Linked DNA regions of Oryzias latipes. The protein of the gene in region 1 binds, or shares a complex with, the protein of each later gene. Links are inferred from orthologs where the notes say so. Each region holds a gene or a part of one and is shown in the gene's direction. Other genes may lie near its edges.

What was found.
Region 2: smarcd1 (region 1) and actb share a complex: the UniProt entries of both Homo sapiens proteins name them as parts of the BAF complex. The link is inferred for Oryzias latipes from reciprocal best matches to the Homo sapiens genes SMARCD1 and ACTB.
Region 3: smarcd1 (region 1) and arid2 share a complex: the UniProt entries of both Homo sapiens proteins name them as parts of the SWI/SNF-B (PBAF) chromatin remodeling complex. The link is inferred for Oryzias latipes from reciprocal best matches to the Homo sapiens genes SMARCD1 and ARID2.

What each region holds. Positions count from the first base shown.
Region 1 is NC_019863.2:13,904,142-13,907,892, reverse strand, and holds the start of smarcd1 (SWI/SNF-related matrix-associated actin-dependent regulator of chromatin subfamily D member 1), read left to right. Parts: upstream 1-981; 5' UTR 982-1,017; coding exon 1,018-1,200; intron 1,201-3,751. UniProt on the Homo sapiens protein: Involved in transcriptional activation and repression of select genes by chromatin remodeling (alteration of DNA-nucleosome topology).
Region 2 is NC_019866.2:19,167,035-19,170,785, forward strand, and holds the start of actb (actin, cytoplasmic 1), read left to right. Parts: upstream 1-1,041; 5' UTR 1,042-1,110; intron 1,111-2,246; 5' UTR 2,247-2,253; coding exon 2,254-2,376; intron 2,377-2,468; coding exon 2,469-2,708; intron 2,709-3,035; coding exon 3,036-3,474; intron 3,475-3,545; coding exon 3,546-3,727; intron 3,728-3,751. UniProt on the Homo sapiens protein: Actin is a highly conserved protein that polymerizes to produce filaments that form cross-linked networks in the cytoplasm of cells.
Region 3 is NC_019881.2:3,973,952-3,977,702, forward strand, and holds the start of arid2 (AT-rich interactive domain-containing protein 2), read left to right. Parts: upstream 1-1,538; 5' UTR 1,539-1,711; intron 1,712-1,850; 5' UTR 1,851-1,948; coding exon 1,949-2,040; intron 2,041-2,161; coding exon 2,162-2,255; intron 2,256-3,169; coding exon 3,170-3,267; intron 3,268-3,751. UniProt on the Homo sapiens protein: Involved in transcriptional activation and repression of select genes by chromatin remodeling (alteration of DNA-nucleosome topology). Required for the stability of the SWI/SNF chromatin remodeling complex SWI/SNF-B (PBAF).

The sequences.
Region 1 (3,751 bases):
GAAATAACCTGCAAATATGTACACAAATAGAAGTTAGTTAAAAACATACATGATTGTTTTTTTAAAGGATATGATACAAAAATATGAATAGTTACATTAATAAAAATCAAATGATTTTCTCATTTGCAAAACAGTCATATATTATGAAAAATGAAAAATATCAGCAATCCACTGTTGAACCAATTGATTTTGTACTGTAGCCTAAATTAAAATGAAAACTTTTATTTTTAAATGTGTTCTTTAAAAGTTAATAATGTTTTGGGGCATTTTGTTTTGCTCTAAGTTTTATTTTGTTCGATAAGAGAAAATTGAAAAACAATGTATTCTGTTTTGATAAATGAAAGACATATAGAAGGCAATAGAACAGATTAGTGAATTCACATGAAAAGAAAGAAGACAATTTAATAGCGTCCTAAATTACTCCAATATGGTTGGCCTACCCGTTGACTTTATTCTTGTGCATATAATCATGTAAATTGAATGCTGGTTGTTAGGACTTGTCAGGACTGTATTACTCCAGCTAATTAAAATGTTCTTTCTTTTTTTATTTTAATTGTTTTATTTTCTACAGACCAGACAGATTTTTTCGTGTTTTTAATATATATTTTAAACTATATATGAATAATATTAATACATATACATGTATATATTGATATATATTAATACATATTTTAAACTACATGAACTATACTTTTATAGTTTTTCTTGTAGTTTTCATGAGTAGCTGCCCAGCCTGTTTGTTGTTTTTTGCTCTTGTATTTAAAAAAAATAGCACGAAAAACAAAACAAAAAAACTTCACGAAAAATACTAAAATATTATAAAGGAACATACTAAATGTTTTTTTTAAGAAATAGCCTATATTACGCCTTCATACCCCACAATTATCCTTTGTCTCTTAATGTGGGCAATCGTGCAGTGTCAAAAGAGAACAGTAGAGGGCGCTATCGCAAAGTGAACGCCTCAGTTGCTCTCGCGTTAGTTCCTTTGCTCCACCGGAGGCGACATCTAGTGAGGAGATGGCGTCCAGAGGGGGGTTTCAGTCTGCACCGACTGGTGGTGGTGGAGCTGTTGGACCTGGACAACCTGTACCCGGTGCTGGACCAGGCATGGGACCCGGGACTCCCACTGGAAGAATGGGTCCATCTTCGGCTGGTCAGAACCACATGTACCGATCTCCAATGCCTGGGCCTGGGTACCCGGTGAGTTATCACTCCATCTTTGCGTCAATGCTAGCCGGTCCGCTAGTAGAACAAAGCCACTCATCGCTGCTTTGTCGCCAATGGCTAACATTAACCCCCGTCCCCCTACAGGCCCAGTTCAATAGAACTTAAGAAACCCATTAAAAGTAATCGACTTTTAATAAATATTTTTTTCGAGCGCTCTGGCGGACTTTTATGAGTTTATCATGTTTGAATTTGCTAAACCTCCCGCTCGCTAACAGAAGGTTAGCTTACATGAAACTGTGCTACCTCGCCTGCTAACGCTAACTAGTAACTAGTTACTGTGTTACGCTCGTCGTAGTTCTCTAGTTACTGATTGTGTGGAGTTAACTGGCATATACAGATTGATTAAATCTATCAACTTTTATGAATACGTCTCGTTTTGACGGGATCCATTGATTTCCTCTGGGAAATCTGAAAGTAAAAAGTCCGCCTCTCAGGAACCGTACTCTGCGAAAACATCTGGCTGCTACCGTCATGTGAGTCTAAATTCAAATTTGCTGAAAGGTAATTTCCGAAAACCCGCTTGTATTTGTCGCGTCTCTCTTTGCTGACGTTTAAAAATTGGCATTTGATTTGACTTCTACTTAACGGAACCATTGAGTTTTTGGTCAGGTTTTAGGTGTAACTCCGCCGTCGAGAACTTCTACTTGTTAATAATACAACGCTTGGTAATGTTTTGCTATTAAAGTACACGCAACATAGTTTACTCATACATTGCAGTTGTTAAACTTAAAAAGGGGGGGGGGGGGGGGGCATGGTAAACTTAAAAGTCCACCCACCTACCTACCAACCTGAATTAATTTTTTTAAAATAAAGACATGCACCCAATTTTGAGAGGAGTCTTCATACTTTTAACCAATTACAAATGAGGTAAACTCAGAATTTACTTGAGGGCATGATAAATATTTTTAGAAATTGAAGATCTTAACCTTGAAAAACTTCAAAAAATGTTTTATTTTTATAAACTAGCAGGGAATGGAGAAGTATCTTATTTATAAATCTATCAAGATCGTTTGATTCTTAATTGATGGAAAGGTGGGTGGTGATGTCATTGTCTGTATAAGAGAACTGGACTGAGCGAGTCTGACGTCACCCGTAGAAAGAAAAAAAAAACGCCTTACTTTCAGCTCCAGCAAAATGAATCCATCAGTCGCTGTTAGATCTGCAGTACACTCATCCCCATGTTGGAGCCAGACCACCTAAGTAAACGGTGATGAGCCTGCGTCTGTAGGAGTCGACGCTTCTATGGCAACTCCTGTCGCCAATCAGGATTAAGCTTTTATCTTAGTCCACATCTCTGCCACTGAAAGCAGGCTCAGGAGAGTCTGTCAATTAAACATTTCAATCATTAGAGGCGGGGTTTACACACGTTCGAGCAGGTACTTCCTATTTGACATCCGGGGTGGGGGTGGGGGGTCACTTAGTCCAGTTCTATTAGGCGGGGATGTTTTGGTGGAAACAAATTGTGGAACTTGAGGGGAAAGTAACATGGCAGTGAAAAATGATGAGGGAAGTGAGCTGTTAGTGGCGGGCTAACATAAATTAAAATGGAACGTGGAAGTACAGCTAGCTAGTTTGGTGATTCAAATTTTAGTGTGGAGTAGTGTACGCAGCAACCTTTGTCACCGTTTTCAAGAAGTTTAACATTAATGCTAAAGATGTTTGTTGTGTTGAAACAGACTAAGAGAAAGAGTTTACATTTCTGCAGTTCTTTTAGGGTTTTAAAAGTGTCCTAGATGTTCAGACTTCATATTTACAATACCTAGACCAAATCCAAGTTCTTCCCCCACTTCTACTTCTCCCTACACCTACAGTTAGCCCTCCAAATGGAGTGTCATATAAAAATAGTCATTTAGACGTCACTCTGACTCGATGAGGTCATCAATCGTCGTCGGTCAGCCACGTTAGCGGGTGGCGATCAGAAGTAAATAACGTGGGTTTTAGAACATTAAAAAGCCATGCTAAAACAAAAAGTATTTACTTACATTTACGTGTAAACTTCTGTGCTTCAAGGCACACCCACTTGCAGAGATACGTTTCTCTTTTGCGGCACAGAACATGCGGAACACCTTTGCGTTGGAGGGCTCCGTATCCCTCCGCGCAGTGAAGGTTTTCCATTCCAAAAACTAACACCCCTACCCCCAAATGCCCCTACAATTGGAGGGAAAGAGAGAAGCTGGAGGGGTAGGGGAAGAATTTGGATTGAACCCTAGTGGGTTTATGTTGAAGTCTGTTTATCTAAAAGACTTTCGATGAAAAAATGTTTTTCACTAAGGCAGTGATTTGGCTACAGTTGTTTATTTTTGTGATTTAAAGACCAATCCCACTAAAGGATACTGTTGACTGTTCCATCTAGGCCTTCACGATAAATGGCAAATTTCTCGTTATCGCGATATCAAGCTGTGCAATCCGCATATAGCAAAAGACAGCGAAAATCGCAATAAATTGTTACTTTAAATGTGCTAAAACAATCTTATGACAGCTTGTAATTATTTAGCAAATCAAATAAATCTATTTATGGATGAAG
Region 2 (3,751 bases), on another chromosome or scaffold:
CTGGAGCAAAAAAAGTTTAAATAAACTGTGAAACTAATGAATGGAAGACAAGTAAGGTAAAAGCAAAGAACCCTAAGCCTATAAAACCCAAAGTCAGGAAAGTTACACCCTTTGCAGTAAACCACAGAGAGGAAATAAGAGCATGTGTGACTTTATTTGTCTCTCTCTGAGTTTAATCGATTAAGGTGAATGTATAGTAGCGTATGGGTTGGGTCTGACAGTGGTTATTTTCACTCAATAGGTCATTTATGACTAAAAGTAGATGCAAGTCAGCCTTAGTGTCCTCTTATGTGGACCTTTTTTCTTCATTTGTAGGGGAAAGAGGAAGTAGCAAGAGCTCTGAGAAGTTAACAAGAATCCAGACTAATGCCATACATGGTCAATTGGTATTAGTGAGATTGAGTTTTTACCATTGCTTAGTGGGAAAAGTGGTTATTGTCCATCCTCTGACAGGGCACTTTTACAGTCCATAGTGTCTTTTGTGAGTCATGTGTTTGGCTTGGAGGGTCTCTGACTCCATCTGAGGTGGCATTCTGCTTTCCAGAGTGTGCAGCAACATCCACATTGTAATTGTCCTCAAATTGCATCAAACATATCTTGCATTTCCAGACTGAAATCTTGAGAGACAGGTTTTAAGAGGAAAAGTATTCACAGGGAGGAGCAGCCTGTGCTCTGCTGTTTGAATGATCAGATAAGCAGGGGGACTTGCTCGAAAGCTTTATACAGGTTCATATTTTATATATATTTGAAACTTTGTAAACTCTATATGTATTAATATTTGTTCAAGAAACATTATATCCTTAGATTAGGCCTCACATCAATCCCTATCCTTTTATTTTCCCCCAGCCCGTTACTGTTATCGCCTCCCTCTTTCTACGCTCAGTGCACCACAGCGTGCACCCGACGTGCCCCAGTGAGTGACGCTGGACCAATCACATGCCGCGATTCCGAAAGTTTACCTTTTATGGAAAGAGCCGGGCAACGGACGGACTATAAATACCACGTGCCCACGGCTAGCAAATTCACTCTGAGCGCCGTCACACACAGCTTGTGCGGGATATCATTCGCCTGAAACCGATTCCCTTGAAACGAAAAGCCCCCCACCCAAAGGTAAGATAGAGACGATATTTGGTTTAATTCAAATGTTTTGGAAACCTTACGATTGTTTAATTGTGCAGTTTAATTCTTAATTGGAGGTGACCATTAGCAGAATTTTGTGGCCACTAAATTTATTTTTAGGCCTGAAATGGTTAAACTTTTAATTATCTTTTTAAAATTGACAATTTTGTTTGTTTTGGCATCAATCAAGTTGTACCAAAATTAGCCACTTAAACGCACAGGTGCCAATTGATTGTAACCGGCAAATGGCTTTTCAGTTTGGTTTTAATTGTATATTTTATATAAGCAACTAAATAAAAATTACTATTCGTATCTTACATGGTGGGGGGAATTTTTCGAGTCCTTCTACGGACGTTACCCGTCCGAGTTGAGGGTGTCTGGATCCTGGCGGGTCCCTTTGTGCGCCGTTACGGGGTGTGACCTACTTTAGCATATTAGCCTAGCTTCATGCTAACACGCCCTTCTAGACTTGACTCTGATTCCTCACATGTAGGGGGGTGGGACTGTTATACATTTGTTTGTATAAAATGTAATAACCCTTAAAGCATTTTAAAAGTATTCGATTAAATTGAGCATGTAACTGTAGTTTGACGGCGAAGAAAAGGGCAAATGACAAATCATTCATTCAAGAAAAGGCGTGGCTTTCAGGAAATGATTAATCAGTCATGGGCTCGCACACGTTTTAATTTCCTTCTAAAGCTTGACGGGTCGTGGTGCTTTATGCCAGCAACGACTTCGCACAAATTATGACGCAGTGATTAAGAAATTTTTCAGTCTTGTGCAACAATGGGAGGGAACGCTGACAAAGTAGAGCTGTAATGAACCAGTGGGAGTAGGCTTTCGTCGCCGGGTCCGATAGTCTAAAGTCCCTCCCCTCTTGCTGTACTTTGGCCGCGTGCCTTGCCGGTAGCCGCAAAGCTGCTCAAAACCGAACTATGTCCTTATATGGTAACAAGAGAATGCAGCACCACTTCCTTTTGTCTGGGCTCGGAATGTAGCGCTCTACCTCCACCAAGCGGACACTTTGGGGAACTGCCGCTCCCTGACAGGAAATGGGACATCTGACTGCAAAGCAGATGCAGATGGGCGTGTCTTTGGTGTTAACGCCTTATTTGTTTGTTTTCCAGTTTAGCCATGGATGATGACATTGCCGCACTGGTTGTTGACAACGGATCTGGCATGTGCAAAGCCGGATTCGCTGGAGACGATGCCCCTCGTGCTGTCTTTCCCTCCATCGTTGGTCGCCCCAGGCACCAGGTTAGTTCCTAACTGTTTACCTTTATAATTTTTTACTATTTAATTTTAAAAGTTTCCAGATTTACTAAATGTAAATTTAAACTTTTTTTCAGGGTGTCATGGTGGGTATGGGCCAGAAAGACAGCTACGTAGGTGATGAAGCCCAGAGCAAGAGGGGTATCCTGACCCTGAAGTATCCCATTGAGCACGGTATTGTTACCAACTGGGATGACATGGAGAAGATCTGGCACCACACCTTCTACAATGAGCTGAGAATTGCCCCTGAGGAGCACCCTGTCCTGCTCACTGAAGCCCCCCTGAACCCCAAAGCCAACAGGGAGAAGATGACCCAGGTACCCGTTTACCTCACAGTGGAGCACATGTATACTCTTTTCACCTTGGTTTCCTTCTGTTCATACTTCCTCCATCCTCCTCTTCTAGGATTTCTTCCTATAAGATGAGCTTTCATCAAAAGGTCTATTGACAGTTTGCCTTGTATCTGCACTTGTGTTTTGAGGCTTAGAGTAACAGATCAGCACCTAAAAATGACATGCACAAGTGTGAAGGAATGTTTACCATGTACTAACTATAGATCGAGCCCCACTTTAATGCATGTAGCGAGTGGAGTGGTCGCATTGCTGCTTTGTAACATGCTAACATTGTGCTTTTTGTCTCTGCAGATCATGTTTGAGACCTTCAACAGCCCTGCCATGTACGTTGCCATCCAGGCTGTGCTGTCCCTGTATGCCTCTGGTCGTACCACTGGTATCGTCATGGACTCTGGTGATGGTGTGACCCACACAGTGCCCATCTACGAGGGCTACGCTCTGCCCCACGCCATCCTGCGTCTGGACTTGGCCGGCCGCGACCTTACAGACTACCTCATGAAGATCCTGACGGAGCGTGGCTACTCCTTCACCACCACAGCCGAGAGGGAAATTGTCCGTGACATCAAGGAGAAGCTGTGCTACGTCGCCCTGGACTTCGAGCAGGAGATGGGCACCGCTGCCTCCTCTTCCTCCCTGGAGAAGAGCTATGAGCTGCCTGACGGACAGGTCATCACCATTGGCAATGAGAGGTTCCGTTGCCCAGAGGCCCTCTTCCAGCCTTCCTTCCTTGGTAGGTACCTCAACCAAAGACTTGTGTACAGACCCCAGAGTGCCCCATGCTAATATTTAATCTCCTTCCAGGTATGGAGTCCTGCGGTATCCATGAGACCACCTACAACAGCATCATGAAGTGTGATGTTGATATCCGTAAGGATCTGTACGCCAACACTGTGCTGTCTGGAGGTACCACCATGTACCCTGGAATCGCAGACAGAATGCAGAAGGAGATCACAGCCCTGGCCCCATCCACCATGAAGATCAAGGTGAGCTTTCTGAAGAGTCTCCCG
Region 3 (3,751 bases), on another chromosome or scaffold:
ATATATATATATATATATATATATATATATATATATATATATATATATATATATATATATACACATTAAAAAATTAACAAACTATTGAATCGACTGTAGGAATCACCCTACATTCAATTATTAGGGAAGACATGATCTAAATTAAAAAGAGCTTTAAATATCGAAGAGTAAGGCTAGCATCCTAGCTAAAAAAGCTAGCATGCCTTTACTAAAGTCACTCGTCACATTATTTAGAAAATAAAATTTAGAAAAAGCCCATTAATTGATATATATTGATGATATGAAGGCGATGGGATTGATTTAGATGCCTTTAAAAGCAGCAAATCGACAAAAGTGGGAAGTAAACTAGCTAGCAGCATTAGCAAAAATGTCCCGACTGTTAAGCAGCACAGCTAGCTTCTAAACTTTAAAGAGTTTATTTTTCAAAACCATCTTTGTTAGCGAAAGCGCAAAGACAATAGTCCCCGTGAAGTCTCCATGGATGATTGGTCGGATAAACATAAAAGTGAGAAGATGAGATGTGTAGATATTTTGTTTTTATGCTAGCGATGACTAAGCTAACAAGCTAGAGCGATAGGTTAGCCCAGAATTCGGTTGACGGGTGGGGAGTCCAAACAGGCTGCGGTGACCTCCGGAGCACCGCCGCTTTTGTGGCGAAAACAGTCCGAAATAGAGAGCGACGCGAAAATACACGCACGGTTTTTCCGCTGTCTGCTGTCATTTCTGACAAAATGGGGTCTGCAAACGTACGTCTCCGCCATTTTGTGACAGGTTTTTCATCGAGCAAAGGGGTACGTGTAATGGTTGAATGTAACCCCATCAAGAAGAAGATATCCGCTTGGCAGTTACAGGGAAAAGGGATCAGGTGTAATTTGCTGCCACCCCGTCACAGAAAAGCCGTTGCGAAGTGGGCAGCAAGGGATGGTGGCGGAGTAGCCCGCGCGCCGAAAACCCGCGAGCTGCAGTTTGTTTCACAATAAAAACATTTAAAAAGCACGAAAAAATGTATTTTATTATGTACTGTTTGCAGGCAAGATTTTTAAAAAGGGGAGCTCTACATGCATATTAGTTATGCGCAGAAACTTTTACATAGCATGACAATTTTATAATTTGACTGTATTAATTTAAAACATTGTGGAAAAATTATTATAAACATTTTTATAATTATTTTCGCAAATTAAATGCTTGAAAATCATTGTTTGACATCGTTTTAACTTTTTAAACATAACGTTAAAGTTTTCCATTTTAACAAATCAGGTAAAAGAAAAAATATGATGATGTTTGCCTTATTTGCTAATAATACGCCAACCAATGCACGCCCGGTGTGGAGTTGTGTTCATAAACGTTTATACCCTCCCCCCACGGGAGATTTCTGAGAACCTTCTGACCCGTTTTCCAACCGGGGGAGTGCATTTGTGAGACGGTCCCTAAAAAAGAAAACAGTCTCTATTGTTCCAGGCTGCGCTCCGGCCGCGAGCGCGCTGCTCGCAGTACCGCCGCTGGCCGCAGAGGGCGCTGCGCGCATGGTAGGCCGGGCTCCGCGGCCTTCTCATCTTTTTGTCTTAGAACTGGATCCCTCTGCCGCTCTTACAGTGTGTGCGCTAGCCTCGGCGCTGCGTCCGTAACACACTGTCAAACCACTCCAAACGAACACAGACGCGACCAAAAGCATTAATTCTACACCTCCAGTCATGGCGTTTCTAATCTACCGGTAAATCGGTCGTATTTGTAACTGTTCGCTGGAAGTTAGTCCGGGCTTGTATCGGGCTTTTGCTCTGCTGTGCATCAGTCTTTATTAGCGAGCTGCCGCTCTCCTTGCTATCAGCTATTTCTTTAACTTTTTTAAACAGTCAGCTTGGCGAATGACTGAGCGCCGGCGGAGTATGGGATCCTTGGTGTCTTAGGAAGCGACTCGCGTGGGCTTTGACCGTTTTCGCATGCAGGAACCATGGCAAATTCGACGGGGAAAAATCTACTAGATCAGCGGAGAAAAGGACAGGCTTTCCTGGACGAGCTGCGGCAATTTCACCAGAGCAGAGGGTGAGAGATTCGGGCGACTGACAAAACCCAACTTTGACCGTCCGCTGCACTTGCCGGAGAGTTGGCCTAAAAGTGTCATTTAAACACACGCGTGCTCGCGTTTCTTGTGTTTTCCACGCAGGTCGGCGTTCAAGAAGATCCCCGTCGTGGGTGGGAAAGAGCTGGACCTGAACGCGCTCTACATCAGAGTGGTCTCGTTAGGTGGATTCGCGAAGGTGAGTGCGAGCAAACGGGCAAAAGTGTGATTTGTGTGCCGAGTCTCCGCCGGACCGCTCCGGAACCCCAAGCGGACCAGCCGGGACAACAAGCGGGACCCCCCCTAAGGGAGACGGCAAGCGGGGACGGCGTTGGCCTTGTGCTAGTTTTGCCATGCATCTCCATGGCTTGTGTTGTTTGAATCGAGAGTCCGTCCGCTCGGAAGTCGGAGTGCGCTGACTTGGAGCCGCTCAAAAATGAGCGGGCACGTTCACCATCGATTATCGGCGCGGGGTCCGGCCTCGGGAAGCCCGGCGCGGCACGCGGCGTGCCGCCTCGCGCTGTCACCGACAGTTTTCGGCCCGGGGGGAGGAAGCTTGACATTTTTTTTTTCCCCTTCTTCCCCCCCATCTCCTCTCTCTTCGCCATGGCCATCTTTCTTCGGCTTCGTGGCTTGAACGCCAAATGTAGGCCTCACAGGCCCGTGTGGGGGAACACCGTCAACGGCGGGGTCGCTCGCTGCGCGGGGGGTGGGGGGCAGGCGCAGCGAGCGCTCCCGGTCGCGCGGACGGACACAGTTTGTGGAAGTTTGACTCGGTGACGTTTTAACGTCAGTGTGGGGGAAAAAAAGTTAGCTAGCAAGCTAACAGGCTAACTAGCTTAAACTGTAACGGTGTAGCTGCTGAGTTATGCACTTTAACTTGATTTTGTTTCAGATTTGTACACAAACACGGGTTAAATATTTTAAAATAAGGGCCTTTTTCAGCTTTGTTGTGTTTCCTGATAGTTTTGAGAAAGTTATCGATTTCCAATATTGGCTAATTAGGGAGGGGGGACCTGTGGCAGACCGGATGGTTTCAGTGTAACCGCTCTTTTTTTTAAGGTGTGTGTGTTTTTTATTTTAATTTTAAATATATTTTCCATGTATTTTCAGGTCTCCGATAAAAACCAATGGGTCGAACTCGCCGAGGACTTCAACTTCCCGAGGAGCTGCTCGAACGCCGCGTTCGCGCTGAGGCAGTACTACCTGCGGTGAGTCGGTCGCGCGGCTCCCGGTTGAGGTTCCGCTCAGGTAGCATGTGGCGACTGTTTACATATGGAAGCTGCTGTCGGCGCGGAGCAGGTGCTCCGGGGCTCAGTGCCGCGTTACAGGCTGCAGCCTGAGGGGCTCCCGGTGAAGATGGATCATCGGGACCTCAGCAGAAGATCTGTGCTGTTTGCTCCCCACCTTTTTTTTGTTTTTAACCACCTTTACCTGGTTGAAGCTATTCATCCTCTCTGGTACTTGTTAGATCTTGCATCATCAAGATTCACCTTTGCTTTAAATTCTGGAGTTTCTCCTTTAGTTCAGGTCAGTTGCCCGTGAAGTTTTTCAACTTTACTTTTAAGGCCTGAAAAGTGTAATGACTCCAGCAATTAGCCAGTGTCTTAGTTGCTCATCTATGGAATGAGTTGCAAGGAGGACAAAGTTAATTTCAGACATTTTTATGGCGTAAACGGTCTGTTTAGATGAAGG